Mytilus edulis: one gene and its partner. The protein of the gene in region 1 purifies or fractionates together with the protein of each later gene. This does not show direct contact. Links are inferred from orthologs where the notes say so. Each region holds a gene or a part of one and is shown in the gene's direction. Other genes may lie near its edges. The genes, in order: RNA-binding protein 28-like and uncharacterized protein.

Region 1 (12,800 bases):
GATTCACTTGTTTGTCAATAAGAGACATCACTTTTACACTTACACCTTTTACCAATATGAAGAAAAATCCAGTGAAACTCAGAACAATTGAATTATTTAAAACAAACTTTGATATGCCGACTCGAATCTGATAAATGATATAGCTTGTAGCAGGTAGAACATTTGAGGTTACCAAAAATTAAAAAAAAAATCTTCATAATCTCTTTATTGAATGCAAATATAACATCAATATTCCTTGTATGGGACTTAACAAGTTGATTTTGTTGATGATTGGTTAAACAAATGAACTTCAATGATGGACTTGGTTTCAGTCTGGCACTTAACAGTCGTAGAATTCAATGCATAGCGGGAATGCCTGTCTTGCTGCAAAGACATAAACCAATTGTTAAAAGTTTATATTTTAAAAGATAAAAGTATACAGGTTCCTTATGTTACGAAGTTTCCTTGATCTTATTTTCGGGGATCACCTGCTGCTATCCAATTTTTTATAGATTATTTATCATGTGAGTTTCTTATTTATTATGAATAATAGAATACATGTAGCTATATTTGGAATATAGGATTCTTTCATGGTCTAAACATCATTCAGGCAGATTTCATATAAGTAAACCATGTCCTCATTGTACACTGGGGTAAAGCTGATGACCGTAACTGCATTCACGGTCATCCCAAGATGTCGGATGAAAAATTAGGTCAGTATTTGTATTGTCTGTTTAATTGTTTCTATATCATTTTCTTAAAAAATGCATACATTGGTACGATGTAAATTTATAAAAGATTCACACGGAAATCGCAAATTACTACCGAGAAATGTGTATGAAACAGGAAATTGGATTGTATGGATCGGTGAAGTATTTAAACTCTGTTCCCCAGATACTCAAAACAATAGGTCAATTATTTTTGATGTTTTAAATGTTGCATGATGTACATGACCGATGGTCAGGGTTTAAGACAAAAGATAAAAGCAATTCATCAACTATATCTAATATAAGGAATGATTGTAGGTATAGTACATATAATAATGGCAATATTTTCCATTTGATTAAAGATATGTACACGTGTGTTAAATATTCAGTTAAACTAGCTGATTCTGGACTGACTGGTTCCATACTCTCAAATGTTGGTGTTAAACAAGGGTGTATACTGAGTCCCCTTCTTTTCAATTTATTTATTGATGACTTTCCAGGATATCTTGATAAGAAGTGTGATCCAGTAGATATAGGGAATACAAGATTAAATTGTTTAATGTATCCAGATGACATAATTTTAATGTCTCAAACCAAAGAAGGGCTACAAAATTGTTTATCCTCATTGGAACTTTATTGTCAAAAATGGCAATTATTATTGAATATAGAAAAAACTCAAATAATAGTATTCAACAAATCAGGTAAATTATTGAAAGACTGTAATTTTTATTTTGAGCAAAATCTTATCAAAAGTGTTCAAGAGTATAAATACCTAGGTATTGTAATGAGAGCATCTGGTTCTTTCAGTACTGCAGTTGAAGATCTTAGTAAGAAAGCACTTAAAGTAATTTTCATGATTAAACGTAAATTTCTTTGTACACATAATAATACACCTTTGCTTTTAAAACTTTTTGATTCCTGTGTTAAACCAGTCCTCTGTGGAAGTGAATTGTGGGGTTCGTACATTCTTAACTTGGACAAAAGATTAACACAAGGTTCAAATGATGATTTAGAAAAAACTTTTTTAAATTTTGCACCTGAAAACGTTCACATTCGATATTGTACTTGGTGCCACTAAAAATGCTTCTAATATAGCCAGTATGACAGAACTTGGTCGTTATCCAATCTCTATATTTGTTATTTTGCAGTCTCTTAAATACTGGCTATATTTGTATAAAGACCCTCTTTTGAATTTTTCAAAATTAGCATATAAGTCAATTGAAGATGTTGATTGTACCTTTCCATGTACCTTTAATAAACACATTTTTCAGTTTCTAAAATTCATTCGTTTTGACCATGTTTGGAATAATAAAGGAACTATGTCAGAAGGAAAACTCATATCTGCAGTGAAAAAGATATTACAAGAAAGATATGTCAATTATTTGTTCTCATGTTTGTCAGGTGAAAAGCAAAACAAACTACGCACATATTACAAGTTAAAAAAGGAATATAAACCTGAGACTTATACAAAGTTAAATATCTCAAAACAATAATATCAGTTTAATAGGTAACAGAAGACAATGATACATAAGGTAGAAACCTTTTAACTTCAAGGGGGGTATGACAATGATACATAAGGTAGAAACCTTTTAACTTCAAGGGGGGTATGTTTTTTGTATGAGTGATTTTTTTCCCGACATAATAATTAAACATGGTCAGAAAAGCAGGCTAGCAATGTAAGTGTGCATGTTGTTGTTTTGTATATACTGAGTATCGGTTATTGTTCGTTATTGTTTTGTACCTACTGAGTATCGGTTATTGTTCGTTATTGTTTTGTATATACTGAGTATCGGTTATTGTTCGTTATTGTTTTGTACATTATTAGTAAGGTTTGATTGTTCGTTGTTATGTTGTAAATAATGATGAAGGCTACATGTAACTGTTGTTAGTTCGTTGATGTCATTGTACAAAACGAATAAATTTGTGTAGTACTTTGTTCTGTACACATACATACATGTAACGAAACGAACGAGTAATACATTGTTGCATTTCGTTTTTGTCTAGTATATAGTGTATATATATATATATATGTGTTTGTGATTGGTGTTGTCTGTTCTACTGTCTAAAATAAGTTAGATCATGTTAAAAAGTCTCACAATGCGTATGTCAAGGACTCATATTTTACGAAATCTATTCGCAGAAAACCAAATTATCTGTTTGACGTGCTTTTTTCTCAACTTTTTTTCTCACGATAATATATAGACAATTATTTCCAATAACGTTTGAAAAAAGTAACTTGTTTGATAATGTCTACTCTCATATTGTGACTTCTCCTCATAATTCAAATCTGTATTCATTAATAAAGAAAACAATGTAAGAACCAATAAAGGCAATGTTCAAAGTTCTTACTACAGTGTCGAATTGATAAACTTATATTAACAGCATCGTCTAAAAAAATTAGGATGTGCTATCCCGTTTATATCAAAGTGTATATACTGTATACAGTTATGGCCAAACTTTCAAACCAATTAATCCTAGCTTGTGATTATGAACGAATTTAGTTAGGTTTCAATTAATTTGTGGTAACGAACCTCCTGACTAAATATCTAACCATGCAGTTATTTATATATTTTGTCCATTCAAATCTTTTAAAAGCTAGCGGCAGATTCTCAGCGTAACGTCTATATACTATATAGTAAAAAGATCATAAAATATATTATAACAGAGACATATATTACAACCATGGGATAACTATTACAGATATAAGATATCTTATAAAGTAAATACAATATCTCTGTATCATAAACTTTTTAAATAAGATATATCATAAATAAAACAAGATATCTTATTAAGTTCATAATCATGATATCTTGAATTTGAATAATATCAAAACGTCTTGTCATTGTGATGACCTTCGTAGAAGTCTCGGAGTGTACTTGTATCATTAATATTTAAGGAATGACTATAATTATTTTCTGTTTATGACGAAATAACATAAAAAAATGTGGTGCACATTAAATAAGTCAAACTCGAGTACCACAGGTGCCTGTGTCGAGTACGTAGCAGTTTATTAAAAAAATAGTGTTTTTTAAGGTTATTTCGAAAAGACAATTAAAAGAATCTAACCGTCAGTCATTCCTTATAATTTAATTCTTAATTCCATTTTGAAGGAGTAAATCATGAAAAAGCGTTGCTGACGTCAGTGTCACGCGACAAAATTATGTCTACGAGCTGATAGACAGCGGAAACATTTCATCTACATTCACCCAAGTATAAAGTTTAGTTTGACGACTTCCAACATGACAACAATTTGTATACAACATTTAATAAACATGCCCAAAATTTATGTACAGGTGCTGGTTGAAAATATCATCTATTTTTTGTTCGTGTTGGTTAGCCACTATACAGAGAAGCTTGATAAGTTTGGTCTTGAATTCCTCACTGCTCTCAATCTCTGGTAGTTAATTTCAGTATCTGATGATCCGAGGAAAAAAAAACTGTACCTGTAAATATCTTTGTTTGGCCTGATTTGTAAAGATCTTTGTATTCGGTTGATGGATTCTCAAAGTTCTACTTAGTTTTAAAATGTGTGATGAAATTGGTATAGCAACCTATTCATGGATGGCTTTATGAAAGAGCGTTATACGTGCTATTTTTCTTCTCGTTTCTAGTGGTGTCAGGTTTAATTCTTCTAAAAGTGTTGTTACTAATCCTTTTGATAAATCGTGCTACACGGCGCTGGACCATCTCAATCTGGTGTGTATGCTTTTGTAGGTAAGGGTCCCATGCGCTGCTTGCGTATTCAAGCACGGTGAGGTCGAACAAGGACAAGATAGGCTTGTTTTTTTACTTCATCTGGACAGGATCCAATATTTCTTCGAATGAAGCCTAGTGACAACTTTGAATGTTCCATGACATTGTGTTGGTAAGTTCAGCTCCTAAGTATGGGTTTGATTCAACTGATTCAACTGAGGATATGAGTCCATTGATGTTGTAGTTGAAATATGGATGGTTTGTCTCTTTTTGGTTATTATAAGGACATAACATTTTGAGGGATTGAATATCAATTGCCAAATTTTGGTCCAATTTGTGACCATTTTATCAAGATCTACTTTTAGATGTTTGTTGCAGTCGTCCTTTGTTGATATCGTTAGCATCATTTAAAAGACGTGTGACATCCAAATTAAATGATTTATACTAGACGATAGTGGTAAATGATTTATACTAGACAATAGTGGTAAAAAATGCAGAATGAAGAGCCAAAAAAGGAGGAGAGAAAAATAAGGCAAAATAATAGAGAATAGAAAACAATGGGTTTTAAAATATAAATTAATGGTAAAAATGAATAATGAACCGAGAAAAATGGTCTGAAAAATTAAGAATATAGAAGTTAGGAACACTAACCAGGCCCTCAGGCCAGAAACATATAATAATATATGTCATTTATACCAAGGATTTGTTTAGTTTTATCCATTGTTTTAATTTCATTATTCTGCACTTTGTGTATTTTTTTTGTCTATTTTTTCAATTCAATCCAGACACTCGTATACGGATGACGGTCGTATACGTTAAAACAAAAATGATATTGCTATCTGCTTAAATTATCATTTCAGCACAGTAGGTGAGCAGCTTATATCAAATCCTCACAAAAGTTTTAAATCTGAGAAAATTAATAACCGTATGTCAATTCAAAAATAATTGATGATACTAAGTTCTCATTATATACTGTCACAAATGACGAGGTTCTACAAGGTCAAAAAAATCTAGACATAACTAAATCAACTGGAACTGATGGAGTTGGACCAAGAATTTAAAAACTATCAAGGTCTATTGTAGCAAGCCCCCTTGCTCACATAATAAACCTTAGTTTATGTACATGAATATTTCCTAATATATCAAAATCTGCTAAAGTTGCTCCCATATTTAAAGGAGGGGATAAAACAGACCCAACAAATTATCGACCTATTTTAATTTTACCCACTGTGTCCAAGTCATTTGAAAAAAAAACTGTCTTTAAACAACTATATTTATTCTTAACCACACACAACAGTGGCGGATCCAGAATTTTTTTATAAGTGGGGGACCCAATGACTGGCCTAAGAGGAGCTAGGCCCGCTCCAGTCACGCTTCAGTGATTCCCTAAATATGCAACCAAAATTTTTCCCAAAAGGGGGGGGGGGGGGGGGCTGCCCTCCCCCTAAAGCCGCCCTGCACAAATTATGAATACAAAAGCAGTCATACAGCACTCATTAAAATAATTGATAAATGGTTAGAAGAATTGGACAATGGAAATTTTACAGCTATTCTCTTTTTAGATTTTAAGAAGGCTTTTGATACGGTAAATCACAATATATACTTTTATCAAAACTCAAATTATACAAATGTGATGACCACTCTGGTTTTCATCGTATCTCTCTCAGAGAATGCAAAAAGTTAAGTTAGGAACCCCTGAATCAGAATATAAAACTGTAGCTTTTGGAGTTCCTCAAGGTTCTATACTTTTATTGTTCCTCATTTATATAAATGACTTACCATTAACCTTAAAATATACAGAATCTGATCTATATGCTGATGATACAAGATCATACAACTTTACATTTGTCATCTAAATCTATTGTAAATTTAAATATATGTTTGAATAAAGACTTAAACAATGTTATTAAATGGTGTAAAGAAAATGATATGACGATAAATAGCAAGAAATCAAAATGTATGCTTGTTGGATCAGACAGAAAACTGGTAAACTGTAATGAATGTTTATGTGTTTTATCACAAAATAATATCGCTTTAGATAATGGTTACAGTTGAAAAACTTCTCGGAAATCATATTGATAAAAACCTGTCATGGTCAATTCAAATTGATAAAATATATGTGAAACTATTTCAGCCAGAATATATTTGTTAAAAAGGTTGAAACGTTATTTACCATTAAAGGGTCTTATTCTTTTTTACAATAGCTATATATTACCCATTATTGACTACTGTTGTACAAACAAAATCTCCCGCTTGTACGTATTTTTTTTCGGAATTTTGTCACCTACCTTGACTCTAAGATTATTGTATGATATATCTGGTTCCTTGTCAGAAATAAGCATTACATAAGCGTTAGCAGTAATTAGAGTTTAAAACCAGTACATCTGCAAAGCATGGACGAGAGAAAAAGCAAAACATTATTTATTAGAAATTTACCATTTAGTACGAACAATGAAAGCTTAGAAAAAACGTTCAGTGATATTGGACCGCTCAAGCAATGTTTTGTTGTGAAAAACAAAGGTAATTATTGTAAAAGATGTATATATACACAGATGTTTTATCTAGTGTTTTGAGGAGTAGACCTAGCTAAATAATTTATTTATCAATGAAGACATATGGTTTGTGTAAGATTATTTGGCTGATAATTAAGTTACAGTGGAGTACCTGGTGTCTGCGCGGCCCGTGATATCATGCATTAGCTGATTTTGTCATATCAACAAAGTTACCTAAACAAAATCAGGATCTCCTGTAGTTGGTGATGGCAATAAAATTTTGTACCAGTATTGTAACTTTTAAAAAAAACCCACCAACAATACTGGTACATTATTTATATACCAGTATTGTAGTTGTATTGTTGACTATACTTTAAGGGTTGTGCAAATAAACAAAAGATTATTGTAATTAACTCATATTATTCAAACAATTTTTAATTATATAAATAATTTTAATTGTATATTTTTGCGAACGTTTTAAATGTATTTGTAAATAGCCAAGAGAAAGCTTTCTGTGTTGCCCGACACTGCGTAAAGTTTTCGCTTGGAACCATGAACATTCAATATTGAATCCGGTTCCTTACCTGGAAGAAGAAGAAGAAGAATTGCTAATAATTTTATCATATTTCTATATTTTTTAATTAATTCAATTGAGATAAAAAAAAAAAAAGCTTAATTTTATTATCCGAGTTATTATAAATTTTAATAAATTCAAGCAAATTATTACACTATGACACTGTAAATTCAGCATTTACATGTATGCCATGTATATTTTTTTTACAGATATTTTAATACATGTATACTAAGATCATATGCATTTGCTGGTCTTCATTTTCTTATAAATCTTTCTCAATAAACACGATAAAAGATATCAATATCCATTAATCATAAAAAAGTTGCTAATAGGGAAACCTGATTATAATCAAATTAACTAGTTTGTCTACATAAATGTTAAGGGTGGTTAAAGCAGTTGATTCAGAACCATGGGCAATACAATTTGTAGCAGATATATACTCAAGTACTAATACATGTATTAGACAAGCACTCCTACAGTAAGAGAGCCGTACAGGTGCTATCTAACATGCTAAACAAGCATGTAATCTAGTAACATGCAGACTGAATACCTAAATATCAATATGGGAAGTGGGGGTTGCAGAAATGCCATCTGAAGAAGAAAAAACGAAATAAATGCTGATGATACAGAAGGTATAACAGCATTAATGTCAAAATAAAATTCACTTAAATATACGAGTCTTGGAAAAAGAGAGATGGAAGAAAACATGGAAGAAAGTAAAGAGTTTGTTAAAATGCTGAGACAGTATGGTTCCCTTTTAACAGTTTAAAAGAAAAAAACATCGGAAGATTTAAAAGTTTCTTTGATTACAATCACAGTGTATCAACAATGGCATCATCAGTTAAACAAACAATCATTCTATACATGCTATATGAAATTGTCATGTCATATGTTAATATCATTATGCATATATATATGTGACTGTTATGACAACTTTAATAATAGATTAATTACCTATATGTATTGTTTATTTAAAAAAACCCACAATACTGGTACAATACTGGAATACAATACTGGTACAAAATTTTTATACCAGTATTGTGGACAATACTGGTATACCAGTATTGCGATCACCAACTACAGGAGATCACAAAATCATTCTTGGTATTGTTTTAGCCTTCCGAAGGGATAAAAAAGAATAAAATTGATAAGTTCAAGAGTTAATAAATAAATGATATTCCTGTGATTTGCCATATATTTGGCCAATTTCCATTAAAAAATAACATCATCAGATAAAATTTGTTTTATTTAGGTCAAAATTATATCAGATTAAAATAATTTTTGCTCTGTATTCTTGGCAGTGTATTTGGTTCAAACTCTGGTATATTTCGTAGTATAAAATCTTTCCTTTTAAGCTATTTTTGGAAGGCATTAACGAAATCACCGGACATTAGAGGAACTCTAAGAACAGGGGTTTCTGTAATTTTGGACACACATTACACAAAATCTAGATGATGAAACCATACAAACAGAAGATTTTATGAAATAAAAGTATGTTATGAATGTGTTCACACAATATAATCCAATTATTGGTTTTATCAGTTGAATGAAGTGAAGTCATAAGTCTTAAGTGCACGGATACACGGGACTGCACCATATGTATTTATCAAACTTCTTGCTCCTTTAAATCAAGTTGTCCTCTTAGATCTCATGTAGTTGGTGATCCCAATACTGATATATACATGTACCAGTATTGTCCAATACTGGTATAAAAATTTGTACCAGTATTGTAACTTTTTTTTTTAAAACAACAATACTGGCACATTACCGATATACATGTACCAGTATTGTTGTTGTATTGTTGACTATTCTTTAAGGTGTATTTTTTTTTAAATGAAAAATGAATTTTAAGCAAAATAGATATTGAAGTTCAAAGGGAGATTAAATGAACTCGAAAAATTATAGAGGATAATTGTGAAATCAATTAACAACCAGTTAAAAATAATAACTATACTTGTACAAATAATCAAAAGATTATTGTTATTAACTCATATTATTCAAACTGGCGTTTTACGTTTCCGCAAATTGGCATTACTTTTCTGGAAAAAAAGATGACGCTTCCGGATAAAAAGTTTATGTTTCCGCAAATAAATACAGTCAAACCTCATTGTGTCGAAGTCAAAGGGACCGGACCAAAGTATTTGACTCATCCGAGGTTCGACTCATCCGAGGTCGAGTGTGTCATCATAAATTTGAATGCATGAAATACGGTATGAGATTTGTGTAAACTAGATACAATGAACAGTGTGCCTTTTCCATTCAATCTCCATTTCTGGTCCTTCGTAATAATTAAAAACACAAGTACAGATACAAATCATGCACAAATAAAATCAATAGTCTACACAAATATTTACAAAGGTCATGTGCTATAAATTATGAAATCACGCGTGGCACGAAATAAGTTGTGAACCGTCTCTGATGAGGTCGTCTGCTTTACATTAAATTATCATGAATTTATTATAATTGTCCTAATCCTTTTATCTATAGTAATTAATGAGTTTTAAATCTAATGATTCATTTAATCTCGGCTTGGGTCATTTAAATTCGTTTCGTTTTTATCTTAAACAATCGAAAGAATTCTATTTCTGACCCTAATGGCAAGTAAGAAACAGAAAAAAAGAAAAACTTCCAAATTGGCGCCAAATTTTTTTGCCGCGAAATTAACACAATTTCAGAATGGCAGGTTTTAATATCAGTCCCATTGTTGTCTTAAGAAAGAAGCAACAACGGTCGTTACTAAGGGCTTGCTTTCCGACTGAAATGTCTTCGGACGACGTCCACAACGTGATACCAATATACGACCAAAAAATTTTCAATTTTTGCGGTCGTATAACAACGTCATGGGTATTATGAAAATCAACAGAAGTGAAGCAATATGTTTTATTTTTTATTTTGAATCAAATATTAAAATCTGAGCCAAAATGTAGAACTTAAGCATTGTCTTTGATAACTTGATGTAAATTCAATTCATTGTCCTTTAAATTATTGATTTTTTATTGGTCTAGAAAAGAGGGTGACATTCCAAAAATTGTCACCCGCTCAGCTATGTGGTAGAGTAAATTAACAGCCTCATATTAGCCAAACAAACTATGGCATTTTAGCTTGAAGTAAAATAAATTCTAATATTACATATGGTGTAGCATTCTAGGAAGGAAGTGCCGCAGCAGACGAAAAGGAAATTTGCAAGTTTATCACGGGATATTTCAGGAATTTTATATTAAATGCAGACGCTGAGAATACAAGAACCCTTATGCAACAAGCTATGAAGTTGTTCAAAGAATATTGATATTTTCAATACCATGTTAAAATTCTTGCAAAATACTAAATTCAAAAATACACAGAAAGAAAATTGAAAGCCATTTTCCTAATACATTATCATGACTATTGACAGATGTGGGGCTCACAGGTCTAAATCAACTTTTTTTTCTAATATAGGATTTTGCAATTTTTTTCTATGATTAAACTTTATCTTATACCTAATAGAAATATAAAATAAAAATATGGGGTCACCGTTCATTTAAGCTCATAATCTTCCTCCGAAAGAAGCATACATTTTTGTTAATGTCCATTTTTTTCTGTTGAACTAATAGGAGAAATATTGGTAATATCAAAATAAAAAAGAACTAAATTACAGAAATCGCTAACATTTTACAATTATTTAGTTTATGTACAGCTTGTTTGAAAACAATAATAAAAAATATAGGTCACCGATGAGTTAAAAAAGATATTTCAATTTAAACAATGACATTTTTGCACCAAAGGGAGATAATTTGGAGCTTTTTCAATGATTTAAACATTTTTAAAGTCATCTGTGGCCAAGCCTAATAGATTTATCTGGGTAATTTTTGTACCATATTATAAAGTAATAACTAATAGTGTAATAAACAAAATGTGTATTGAAAAAACAAATGTTTAATTTTTGATGATTTTTTTATACCCGCGAGCCTCCTTAAGGACTTTCACTCAGTCAATACCTTATATATGGACCTCGCCAAAAGTCCATAATTGATAATTACATGTAAATGGTATATTATATAATTTTCATTAAATGAGATGTAGGAACATTTTAAAAATATATAATCTTGAACGCAGATCAAGTTGGAATTTTGTTGGCATCTTTTTTACCCTTGTAGATTTACATGTATGCCCTGTACAAATAGAAAAATTGCTGAATTTTTGGTTTCCGTTCCCAAACTTTAGTTTTCCTCAATCAAATTTTATGAAACTTATACACAATGCTGCTAACATTAGTGTCCTACAAAACACAGATTAAGTTTGAATTTTGGTGATGAGGATGTCACTTTTACAGTTAGAGAATTATGCCCAATTACAATTTTGTTTCCATTCTCTAACTTTAGTTTACCTATACACAATGCTAATTACCACAAAATGCAGATCAAGTTTGAATTTTGGTGGTGTCTTTTTACTGTTCTAGAGTGAGGCTCTTTTACAAATGGAAAAAAATGCTGATTTTTTGTTTCTGTACACTAACTTAAGATTGCCTCAACTAAATGTTATGAAATGTATACACAATGCTTGTTACCACAAAACTCAGATCAAGGACAAACTGGGGTAGGATCACTTTTACAGTTCTTGAGTTATGAACTTATATCCTGTTATAAAGTTATATGCAAGCAGGGGCATTTTTCTTCCCAATTTATTCTATTATATTTGTTTGAATCAAGTAATTACGACCAGAAATGTTACTTTGTATCATGTGTATCATTTTCCTCAGATAATTGATAAATAAACCAAGCAATTATAAACATTGATTTGATTTAAATAAGACATTATGATCATTATATGATTCTATGTTCTGTCATATTGTAATCACCTCCTTATGTCTGAAATGTGTGAATTAATTAAAACAATTTATCTCCATGATATTTCCTACTTATCATGAAAAATAACTTCATATTTACATCATATACTGATATACATGCCGATGCTGTGAACTCACAATCACTCCTATTTATATGGATTTAAAATAAATTCTCTGAATGTTCCTCCAATATTAGGCATATTACACTTATAATTATCTGTGGCCTTTGTCTATAATCTGACATCTGAGTTATTTCTATTAAATACACCTGTTATCATTGCCGAATTGCTTACCCTGAATCAAATATCTTCATTTATTAAACAAAAATGTTTTTTTTTGTTTAATCATCTGATATTTATCTTTACCATATATTTAGTACAAAATACAGCAATTTTGTATATCTAGTAAAGGTTCTTTTTTCCAGTCTTTATCACCTACCCTGTATCGCATACCCTGCATCGCATAGCAAAATCTGTATCGCATACCTGGCATCTTGTCATAATTTGAATGACCTTAATGTTTGACCTATGACG
Region 2 (12,314 bases), on another chromosome or scaffold:
TTCAGGTAAATTTTGTGAAACATGTCGCTTCTTAATAATTGCTCTGAGCAACACTTTGGTATCTTGTCAATTGTCATTAATTAATCTGAGCAATATTATGGTTTAATTAGGATTATAAATGTAATTAACTTGTATCTCTCTAATTGACATTATTCATATTTCACCTTTGGACATTGTAAACAATATTATTAATACTCAAAATTATCTCAATTATCTCAATTATCAATGTCTGTCATTTTATGAGTAGTTTTCAGCTTTCGCCTTAAATATCGGAGTCGAACAGTATTCGTTAGTGTAGTCTCGTCGGTGTTGTCCAGATAGGAGTGCTTCCAAAGCCAACCAGGCTCAGCTACTCGGGAGAAATGCTAACTCAAAAGACAGCTCAACACAACTGTAACTATTCAAGCCAGACAACATCAACTTGGAATATTACGAACATTTTGGACTTTTAACTTTAACTGAGAATTAGTGAAATTAGTGACTTTATTAATTGGAACATTTGGACTTTATTTATTTGTAAATTGTTTTGGCATCATTATTATTATTTGGACCTGTTACTATATATAAATTTGTTACAACTTGCTGCTTGATTTATAGTTTTGCCTGCCATTGCTTAAGTCTTGCGAAAGACTGACCCCCTGTGCCTTGGGCTGTGCATGTTCGATAGTCCCCCTTAAACTCGACGTGCATTGGCTCTTGGTGACATATATACAAAGAATTAGCAAAATAAATTGTAACTGCAATTTGTGTTTTTTTTTGGAAAATTGATAATTCCTTTAATCTTGAGGGGGAAAACATCCCATTCTACTTATGCTATTGAACCTTTTGTTCAATTTCAGAGTAATCAAAATACTTAAACACAAGTTATTGTCCTTTAACTAGAAAAATGCTTGATTTGAGCCTCTTTTTGGCTCCTAATTCCTAAACAGTTAGGACATCTATCCCACACCAATCCCAACCTTCCTTTTGTGGTATTGAACCTTTTTATTAAAATTCATAGAGATCTATACACTCAAACTAAAGTTTGTCTGGAAACAAAATGATTTTGCAAGACAACAACATCATAGCAATACATGAGTGACTGCAAATTATTTACAGATGTATAATTACATTATTAAAGGTAGAAATAAGATTTGTATAAAAAAACTTAAATATAGTGACTTACAGCAAAGTGTTTTTAGGATTATGTACCCTTGTGTTGCTTCAATGCTAAACCTATGGAAATGTTATAGAAAATCAACAGCCTTTCCCCTTGTACTCTCATATTTGGCAATTCGATACTTGATAGACAGAGGATTATTGCATGCAGTGCTAGCAATGATTTCCTTAAAACAAGTTTATAATTTTAGATATTTGTTTAAATAAATATAAATGTGAACCAATTCAAGTACACCTTCTAGGGTGCGACTTTAGTGACTCAACATGAGATGTTTTGGAATTTAAAGGTTGTTTTAGGACTTTTTGTAAACAATATACGCTAGCTGATCATAGAAAAACAAGTGAGGCCAAATAAAAATATATGTATGGTTCCAGTAACCCTACTGTCCCTACTTTTTCGGCTTAAAAATAGCCTACCCTAAAGATTTTATTGTCATTTTTCATGAATGTTGCTCCCATAGACTCAATGTAAAAAAAAAAAAAACATCAAATAAAAAAAATCCCTTCCTACCTACCCTAACTTTTTATCCGATGTAACTGGAACCACATACTTTTTTATTTGGCCTGAATTAACTTTGTTTCAAATTTTATTACAAAAATCTCTGTATTAAAGTCTGTGGATTTTCTACAAAATTCTTGATTTTATTTTCACCAAATTCCCTTTTTCTATTAAATGCATCTAAACTTTAAATGATTATGCTTTGCACAAAGTTTCCCCTTTGTATATGTACAAAATGGCCCATCTCTATTATTCATTATCCTTGCTGATTTGATACTATTGCAGTTTAAAAAGTTCATAATTCACAGGCCACAGAAGGGGTCATAAACCTTAACATAGAAATATATAAAATTTTACATTTTGTCCACCTCATAACCTTTTATTTTGAAATAATTTTTGAATATACATGTATATACATCTATAATAGATACCTTCCCAAAAGTGAATCTATATATTAGACAAGTAGGCATATTGTCTCACAGGCAGCATAGGTTAGTTTATTTTGTTCATGTTAAACTTTGTGTCATGTTTTAGTCAGATGGTCTCGTAACTATGCCTTAAAAATTACATTGTGTCTGCCTTACAATGTAATGTACAGTTGGTGAACAACTTCATTAATACAAATATCAAAATCCAGAGTAATTTAATATTCAAAGATGATGTCAACATTTACATTGTGTATGACCATGAATTTATTTAAATGAAAGGTGTGACTATTGTCTCTTTTCTATATATTACACTGGTGGTATGACTCTGAATTACCGTAATTAAAAGTGCATGGAATAATTAATTTTTCCAACTTCAGTCATAAAAGCATTTTCCTTGTTATCTCTCCCCATTAATTCTTATCAGTGATGTGTGATAACTTTTATGTTTCAAAACAAATATCTATGGTTGGAAATATTTTGTGTGCATTTATTTATTACAAAAAATATACTTAGCAAAAATTCACAATTTACAGTATTTCACTGACAATGTGATAAAGTATTGTTATCATGGTTATCATTTTTTCATGCCATTATCACAAAAATATCAAAGGATACCAAAGAAATCTGATTGGCAGGCATAAATGATATAAAAAAATAAAAGTAATACCTCAACTGTTTTAAATGGCAGACCAATGTCCTTTGCTTGATCTTTAAGAAACTTGATAGCTCCATCTAAATAAATCAAAATACAAATAAATCTGATCATTAAAGTGATGTCTATAAAATTCTTTTAAGAACAAAAAAAGTAAGAATCATTTGTTAATACAAACCTGTATGGAGAGAGACTGTTCTTAGTTTCAACATTTGATTAAATTAAATTAATATAGCTATCTATCTATGCATTTTGTATTTCAGAAAAAATACACTTGCATGTTGTTTTCTTCAATTAATGTTATTGCAATTGTTAAATTTTATGTACAATATTCTTCGCTGAGTCATACCTGCCAACTGTCACTACTTGCAGGCAATGTCCCGTATGGAGACTCCAAATTGGAAATTTTGAAAGATTAATATTGTCCACAATTTAAAACAAAACAATCAGTTTCACCATGGGTATAGCATTGTAAAAGAATGAAAAAGCAAATAAACAACATTAAAATAAATTTGATGGCCCCTTAAGGTTTTGTAGGACTATTACAGCCATCCTGCATGTAAAACCCCCATGGGCATTTTGAAACACAGGCAGGTATGCTGAGTTTATTATTGACAACTTCTGTAGGAATGGGAAAAGATATTCCAGTTCCGTGATACAGTAGTTAATTATGTCTGTCATATGACTTCATTCACCTTGAGACAAAGTGTAGGCAGTGTCACTTCCAAAACATGTTGAGTGAAAGAATAAAAAATTTTGTTGCTATTCTTCAAGAAATATTTGGGAAATCAAAATCTTATTAGTTGGTCACCCTTCCTTCAGTTGTAGGGTAATTGAGATTACATAAAATGTACATAGATTATTTCTAGACTCTTCTCCTGAATTATGTTCCTACAGATGCATGAAACTTTAATAGTGCAGGGATACATGTTCGCCTTCTCTCAGGTAGTTGATAATCTTTTCCAGTCATACAGATAGACATAATTCGAAAAGTACACTTGACCCAAGTATTTGCAACACTTGGATGTCAATCCACAATCAATTTGCTTGTAGTTAGACACTGCTTTTGTGAGGTAAACACTTTTGGGAACATAGTTGTATTTGTCAATACCTTAAAGGAGGGTTAATTTGTAATGGGGCTACTTCATGACAAATAACAGTAAAAATTCCTGCCAAATGACGTTAATAATAATTTTTGGTGCATGACAATAAAATATACACTTCTTTTCGACGATAAAAAATTGACTGAATTTGATAAATCACAAAAATAACAGTTACAATAATGATTTGAGACATCTGAGAGGGTGATAAAGGGGGGTCCTGAACACGGAAACAAGTGAAATAAAAATCTCAAAAACGTTGCACAGAAAATAAAAATTGGAAAAACGAAGCACGAGAAATAAAATTGTAAATATAAAAGAATTAATACTTGAAGTTATTACTCAGCCGTTCTTGGAGATCAGGCAATCACTATTTTTGAACATGACAACCTCACAGTAACCTTTGAACATCCACAAGTTGCATGTGATTTGAAAAAAAATAATATTTATAGTCATTTGATAGCAATTAATATCCTGGGAACATGTAATTAAAAACAATCTCTGGATTGACTTTGAATTTAGTCCCATTTACTATTTATAATGAAATGCGGGATAAGCATGAGAAATTAAATGTCAAAACACGAAAACACTTGAAACAAAAAGGCCAAAAACATTGAACGAAAATAACTCTTTACCACCCTCATCTGACAAATCATGATGAAGATAAGGAAATTTTGACAAATCAGAGTGAAATTTTAACCAATGTGACGCTAACGGTTGCCCAAAAATAACCTTAAAACGTCTGATGTTAAAGGGCATTCTTAAAGGGATAGTAGCTACGATTTTGAAAAAAATATGAACAAGTTTTAAAGCTGCTAAAATCAAAAGCAATAAGATCGCTAGAATGTTTTCATAAACTACAGAAGTGTTAATAATTGATAATTCATATCGTGTTGTGTGCCTATTCATCTCATTAATTATGCATCGGGTTTACTTCCCGAACTTTGCCGACATAGCGAGTGAGCTAACCAAGATATATATAGATACGAACACGTGCTTTTTGTTTTCTTACATATTTGATAATTACTCTTTATTAAACGTACATATTTGACGCCATTTATCAAATTATGTAAATAAAAAATATAACAAATACCGGCATGTTATTCCAACCCAAGAATCTCCAACAATGGCGATATTATACACTTGTTATTACATTTGTATGACCAAACCATGCTGATAATGTATACACGTGTTTGTGTGTTAAATCGGGGCCTCCATGAAGGATACACCTGAAGAATAATACTAAAGTTTAGGAAGTTGATTTCTAATTTCTTCTAAGCTGGGAGATTACTGCCCGTAAATTTATAAACATATTTTTGACAATTATGAACACGTTGAGATTTTTTTTCATGTGATCTGGAAAATTTAAGAAATGTAAACATTACGCAAACCGTCGGCTACTTCTGTTTGACTTTGCCTGCGTCGCAGGTGTTTTTATTGATTTTAATGACCGATCTCATCGACGTTTTTTATTTTTGATTTACAATAACTTGTCTGCACCTCTTTTTTGTTTCTTTTCTCGCTGAAACTGTAAATTCGCGTACCATTTCCGCGATAACATTCCCCTGTTCGACCATTTTCCCTTCGAGGCACAATGTGGGATTGCGCATTGGGAACTAAAGAGTAAAGGTCATATGAATAAGGGTTGGGCTTAACATCGAATTATTATCTATAGATAATAAATAAATGTAGGTGTTAAACGTTAAAAAGCTTCTAAATGCTCAACTGAACGTAACCAGTAATTGTTTTAATCCTAACTATTTTACTTTTTGTACAAAATCCGGCATATAGATTAAAAAAGTAATTTTAATGAAAATCGTAGCTACTATCCGTTTAACCTCTTAATATTGAACTATTATCTGATTATACATACGCAATATAAATATGACAAACATACCATAATCTGGAGTTGGGTGGACCGATTTGATACGCAAATACTGTCTAAATCTTGTGACAGCTGGATCTTCTTGCTTGTTGCTTTCTGTCATTTTTCTTATTTATATAGTTTTCTTGCAACGATGTTACTGTGATTCTTAGCGTACTTCCTAACCTGGGAAAAACGATTTAGAAAACCGAATGAAAACACCTGTGTGGGTCAAGATTCAGGACGTTAGTTTTCGATGTCGCGAGAGATCTTCCGAATGAAACAAAATGTCTGCGCCCATGAACACAAACGCTTTATAAACTTTATTGGTTTTAACTATTCGATACAGCTTTCAGGTGAGATAATCATAGAAAGGCAACTATATGTAATCCTGCACTGTTTCAAAAGCAAATCGGTTAAACATATAAAGGACATATGCATACAAAATTCATACACACAAATATTCAACAATAATGTCAATATTACAGTGTCAACTGGTCAATGAAACCTTCTACCTGTACATGTAGCTGCAGTAAAATGTTCTACTCTTGACAGTTAATATCTGTTCTCAATAAACATCTAAACAGCCAAATAAAATCTACACCGTTTTAACCACAATGTAAAGATATAAGTACACAAATAGAAGATAAAAGGAATTAAATCATTTATTATTTTAAGTTTGTTTATATTTATAAAAAAAATCAATGTACTGTCTATGCCTATAATGAGGGGCCTGATTGGGGGGGCGGGGGGTCTCATCATAATTCACGAGTTGATTTTTTTGTCAATCACGATTTACATGAAAAAAAATCTGTAGAAAAACAGATCACAATAGCGAAAATGCACCGATCACAAAGAACGAAAATAACCCATCAGGCCCCTCTATAATGGGTCCTCTATTGGAAATAAAAAAAAATATTTCTATCTTTATCGTTTTAAATGAAAATAGAAATAAGATGCCATGCACACATGACAAGGAAAAAGTAGTACTCAGCACTTTATCATCAGTATCACTACATGAGGGTAGTAATGGGGGTACCTTCATGACGTATAACGGTAAAAATTATTGCCAAATGACGTTAACGGTAATTTTTAGTGCATGACGATAAAATGCACACTTTCTTTTAGAAGATAAAAAAATCAGCTGAATTTGACAAATCATGCTATTTTTTTTCCAAAAATAATGGTAACAATAATTATTTGAGACATCTGAGGAATCACGATAAAGATATTTTGACGAATCACGACAAAATTTTAATCAATTTGACGCTAACGATAGCCGAAAATGACCGTTTGCACCTGACAGTAAAGGGCATTACCACCCTCCTATATTGAGGGAGTGCTGAATTTTAAAAAAGAAGATGAAAGCAAATGCATGCAATACAAATCCTTGGTTGGTCAAATTATTTTATAAACATTAAGGTTCATCATAAAAAATAGACAAACTTGGTATAAAAATACAGTTCAAGTGCACTGCTGCTAGGTATTGATTTTTTTTCCCAGATTCTCAGTTTTGTCTTCACTCAGACAATAATTTCATAGGTGAAAACACAACCGATGTTTGTCTATTTGTAATGATGAACCACAATGTTCATAAAATAATTTGACCAATTTAGATAACAGTATAGATTTTGCTGAAAAAATATTTTTGTTACTATCTTTTTGCTGGCTTCATGCCAAGTCACCACAGAAGTTTCACTTGCCACAAGGTCAAGTTCTATTGAATCTGGACTCGCCAAACACGATTCTTACTCGCATTAGGAGAGTGGTAAGCAGAGGTTTCATACACTGCTTCAATTATGTGATTTAATTTTCTCGTTAGTCAAGGGAAACTACCAATCAATTCTTAAACATGATAATGTATGTGTTACACATATATCTAAAAAATTAGGGAGCCCTAGTGGTAGTTTACAATTTCAGATTAAAACTTGGCAATTAAATTTGATATCCTATGGATATGATTTTGAAAAAATGAGAATTATACTAAATCATACAATATTCAATTATTAAACTAAGTTCATCTGGAAAAAAAAAAATCAAATTATCTCCCCTTTTGCTTAAATAATTTGTTATTGATATGACATAAGTTTTGTTACTTTGTAGATCATGAACCAACACAAGAAAAGAAAGTTTCCAGGAACAAGTCATTCTATTCCAGGTCAGAAGAAGACAAAACTAGATTCAATTAAAAATGAAAATTTAAAAGCAAACAAAAAGATACAACATAAAGGATCCACAGTTTCTGTAAAACCACAGAAGGAAGGAAAGACTAATAAAACAGTTACAAGTGTTCAGACTTCAGATAAACAGCCTAGTCGGAAAAAGAAAAAGAAACAATGGCAATCTGTGAAAGAAAAAAGAAAGAGACTTAAGAAAAAATATTTAAATGTTGACAAAAGTACTTTAACTGAAACTGATAAAACTACACAAGCTATTCTTCCTGAAAATAAAGTAAAATTACCACAAACTTCTAGTGAATATTCATCAAATTGGAAAAATCTTATGAAAGTAAGTTTATATCTGTGTGTGGCGTTGCCAAGAAGAACCCTTCTATATGGTGTCTTCAGTGAAATGTTTTTGGTTTATTTATTTTTTCTTTTCATTTTGGGTATTTTTGTGATAATGTCAGATCTATACAGGTCTCTAGATTTGAATTTCTCTAGAATTAGTTTCATTTACATTTTGACATAATTGTCATTAATTGATAAGAGTAATTTTGTCTATAGGTGTTGACCTTTACTTAACATTTGCTTTGTGATATGTTTATCATATATAAATTTATTGGCCGTCTACATGACATTTGCTTTGTGATATTTTTATCATATATAAATTGATTGGCTGGCCCTCTACAATATACAAATAGTAAAAAATATATATTATTGTGTTTATTAATGTTTATTTATAAAATAAGAAAATATCACATTTATGAGATCTAATTTTATTAAAACTATGATGTATAATTTGAAACAGAATGAAAAGCCAGCTAAAAATTTCTAATAAAGGAAGGTTATACAGCAATATCTGTATGAAGAATTTGTAAAGAAATAGACTATTCTATAAATGTAGCTGTATTAATTTTTCCCTTGTTCTACTTACACAACCTGTTTGTTTAGACACTTGCATATTTAATGTTATCGTGTATCACTCTAGTATCTTGGCTCCATGTAAAAGTTCACTTTAGAAATGCACATTACTGTTAACCACAATACAAAGTTTAATATTGAAATCTCTTCATAAGGCCACACCAATTTAATTTCTTGTTTTATGGATTTTTGGGCTCCAAAATTTGGGGCGAGCGAGCGATTTGAAAATTTTAATAAAAAGATATTTAATTTGCAAATTTTTGAGGCGAAGCTCGAAAAGTAAAGGTGAGCGATTATAATTTTTTTTTGTAAACATAAAATAGTAGGTTTTGACAATATTAAAGCTTGATTTATCACTTGTACTTTGACATTTCTTTAATTTCTGAAGTAATTTTTCCCTGTTCTCCAAGAAATAATTAAATCTGGTCTATGTATGTGTGACTGACAATGAGACAGTTCTCCATCCAAGTCATAATCAGTTTGGGGACAACCCCTTAATGTTATAAATATCCCTTTTACATGTTTTATGAGGGATCAATATAAGTTATAATATATTTGTTTGTACAAAAGGGCTCATATTTTCTTAAAGAACTATGTATCTATCTGGTATTAAATGGTCGAAACAAGTCCAAGAATTTTGTAATATTCCTGGACTTTAACCATTATATGTTAACACTTTTACTTTAACAGTTTAATATTATTCAAAATAAGAGGACCCCTCTTTTAGAAAAAGTTGTTTAAAATATGATGTAACTCTTCAGTGGCGGATCCAGAAATTTTCATAAGTGGGGGCCTGCTCGAGTCACGCTTCAGTGAATCCCTATATAAGCAACCAATTTTTTTCCCAATAGGGGGGACCGGGCTCCCTGCCCCCCCTCCCTAAATCCGCCTCTGCTCTTCTCTTTTTGAGTACAAAATTCTAAGTTTTCAAAGGTTTTGTATAGAAGAACTATACAAATCCTTGGTATTTCTATTTTTCTTTTCTACATCAGTAAAATGACCCCTTGTCTGAGGGAGGGTTGTTCTCAACCTGATAATAACAAACACAGGTCAAAGTACGGCCTTTTACACAGGGCTTTGATACAGACCAAACAGCAGGCTATAAAGGATCCCAAAATTATTAGCGTACACAGTTCGAACAGGAAAACCAACGATCTAATTTATATATCAAGTATTTCCAAACGGGAAAATACCAATGAACAACATCAACAAACGATAACTGCTGACCGACAGGCCCCTCAATCAATCAGGACAGGTGCATAAACATGCAGCTGCTATGGATAGTTTTGTTTCGCCAGCATACAATATAATTGCAGTTGAAGGCAAATCCTTCAGAAGTTCTTTGTACTTCTAACAACGAACATTTGTTGATAGGGAATAGGGAAAGTAACCAATTTTTTGTTCTTTACATGCAGGTATTTCCGTAGTTATAAATTTATATCGGAGCACTCCCGCTTTTAGTCCAAATAATTATGACGTCTGGCAAGGCTATTTTAATTTTTTTCTGGGACGCCTCCCTACGACGTCTGGCAAGGCTATTTTATTTTTTTTCTGGGACGCCTTCCTACAACGTATTTTATTTTTTTTCTGGGACGTAGGAAGATGTCCCAGAAAAAAAATAAAATAGCCTTGCCAGACGTCATAATTATTTGGACTATCCCGCTTTGGATAAATAGGTTTCATGCTGAAACAAATATTCTCACAGATATTTACAAAGTGTGGTGGGGTGCTTTTTGCTTTTATGTTTAAAATCGTTATATATACAGGTTAGACTGTGATTTTAAAAACAAATGTTGATATCTTTTTATAATATTTACAAAAAAAATGGTGCGGGAAATGGACATGATTACATTTCCGGATGCGGGAAGCGGGAATAAAAAAAAAAAAAAACAAATCTGTTTTGAAAAAAATAGGTGCGGGCGGGTCCGTTGAACAAGGTATCAAATTGGTGTGGCCTAAGTTATTATTATCATATTTATTAGCCGATTAGCAGACCAAAAAGAAGTAGTAACACAAGATAACCTCACTTAAATTGTTCTCTGCTATGGGTTTCAATATTGTTACACAATGTATAATAATTTGTTCCTGATATTTTCTTATTACAGACATTTAACATTCCACAGACAAAGAAAAAGAAGAAGAAAAAGCATGAGGAAAAACAATTACCTAGTGGACAAACAAAGACAGAGCAGGAAAAGTATAAATAAATTCAGAGTATAATGTTTTCTCACAAAATTTCACTCAAGCATGTAAATTCAATTTTTAAAAGTCTTGATTAATTTCTGAAAATGAATGTATTCATCCATTTTTGTCGAGCCTGTGACTTTTGCCTTGTTTATGATCAAAAGCTAGTATCAAGACAGACATTTTGTAAAAATTTCTATCCTGTTTTTCCTTATTTTACTTAGAAATGGGTTTTTTCCCAGTTAACATTAGATACAGTCTGCGTTTAAAGTTTTTAAAACAATTATTAGACTGGTTTTTTACCAAACTTAGACATAAGCTTCTTACAATCAAATGATATTATATAGAGGAAAATTTGATTTTTTTTCCCACAGTTTTGATGAGCCTGCGACTAACAAAGTTAATTTTTCTTATTTCAATGAAATTATTAATGCTTGAAGATACATTACTATTTAATAATTGTTCCAGGGAACCAGAAATTTGGTTTGATGATGTAGATGACATTCTGCTGGACAGGAAACCAGAATCTTCACTTAAACAGTCAGATAAACTTGTCAAGCAGCAATCATTTACAGGGTAAGGTAGTTATATTATTATAGATTTGGATGATTTATAAAGGAAATCGGTCTGTTAGACCTCAAACATGGTGACAAAAAGGAAGTAGCTTTTGCTAAAATTGTGTCAATCAAAACCTAGCTATCTATTGTTCATAAATCAATAAAGATACCACCATAGTTAGATAGTACATGTATGGACATGATTGTTTTAAAAGAAAAAAAAGTGATTTTCCTCCACTTCATTCTCATCTTAGAACAATAAGCTAATTAAGTCATTGTGTTCTCACTTTGCTCTAGTAACTTAGGATGGAATTGATCAAAGTAAAATTTAAGAAAATAGCATTGAAATGTATTATTGTTATTTCTATAATTGCATGGTATAAGTTATAGGATAGAAATAAGTTGTAATCCCTGGAGTAAGTTTTTACATGGCAAACTATATTATTATTGTTATGAAAGCTGTGGATGCTGCATCTTTCTATCCAGTTGACAGCATTTCAGTTTCTTTTGTGTAAACTGATCTTTGTTTACATTGTGTCATAAAGAGGAGAAAGATTTTGATATTTTATATTGCTTTAATAAGACTTCAGTTTCATGAAACATACATTTGACCAGGAAGATCTCAACTATGAATGGGTGTCAAGTACATTGAAAATGTAAGTGAAATTCTAAATTTTTCAAAGTGCTTTCCTAGGTACCATATTCATGTTTAAGTGAAAAAGACCTCCTGTCAATAGGTTAAATCTCAAGCATCACTGCAGCTATAAACAGACTGACTTTCATCCAAAT

What was found.
Region 2: the proteins of RNA-binding protein 28-like (region 1) and uncharacterized protein purify together in Homo sapiens (affinity purification with mass spectrometry; 3 studies listed by BioGRID and IntAct, with this or other methods). This does not show direct contact. The link is inferred for Mytilus edulis from reciprocal best matches to the Homo sapiens genes RBM28 and REXO4.

Annotation. Positions count from the first base shown.
Region 1 is NC_092353.1:13,393,940-13,406,739, forward strand, and holds the start of RNA-binding protein 28-like, read left to right. Parts: upstream 1-6,706; 5' UTR 6,707-6,772; coding exon 6,773-6,899; intron 6,900-12,800. UniProt on the Homo sapiens protein: Nucleolar component of the spliceosomal ribonucleoprotein complexes.
Region 2 is NC_092344.1:89,229,632-89,241,945, forward strand, and holds the start of uncharacterized protein, read left to right. Parts: upstream 1-5,919; 5' UTR 5,920-6,057; intron 6,058-7,804; 5' UTR 7,805-7,807; coding exon 7,808-8,209; intron 8,210-10,889; coding exon 10,890-10,981; intron 10,982-11,436; coding exon 11,437-11,544; intron 11,545-12,314. Other genes in the region: aminoacylase-1-like, read right to left, coding at 2,753-2,817, 5,735-5,825.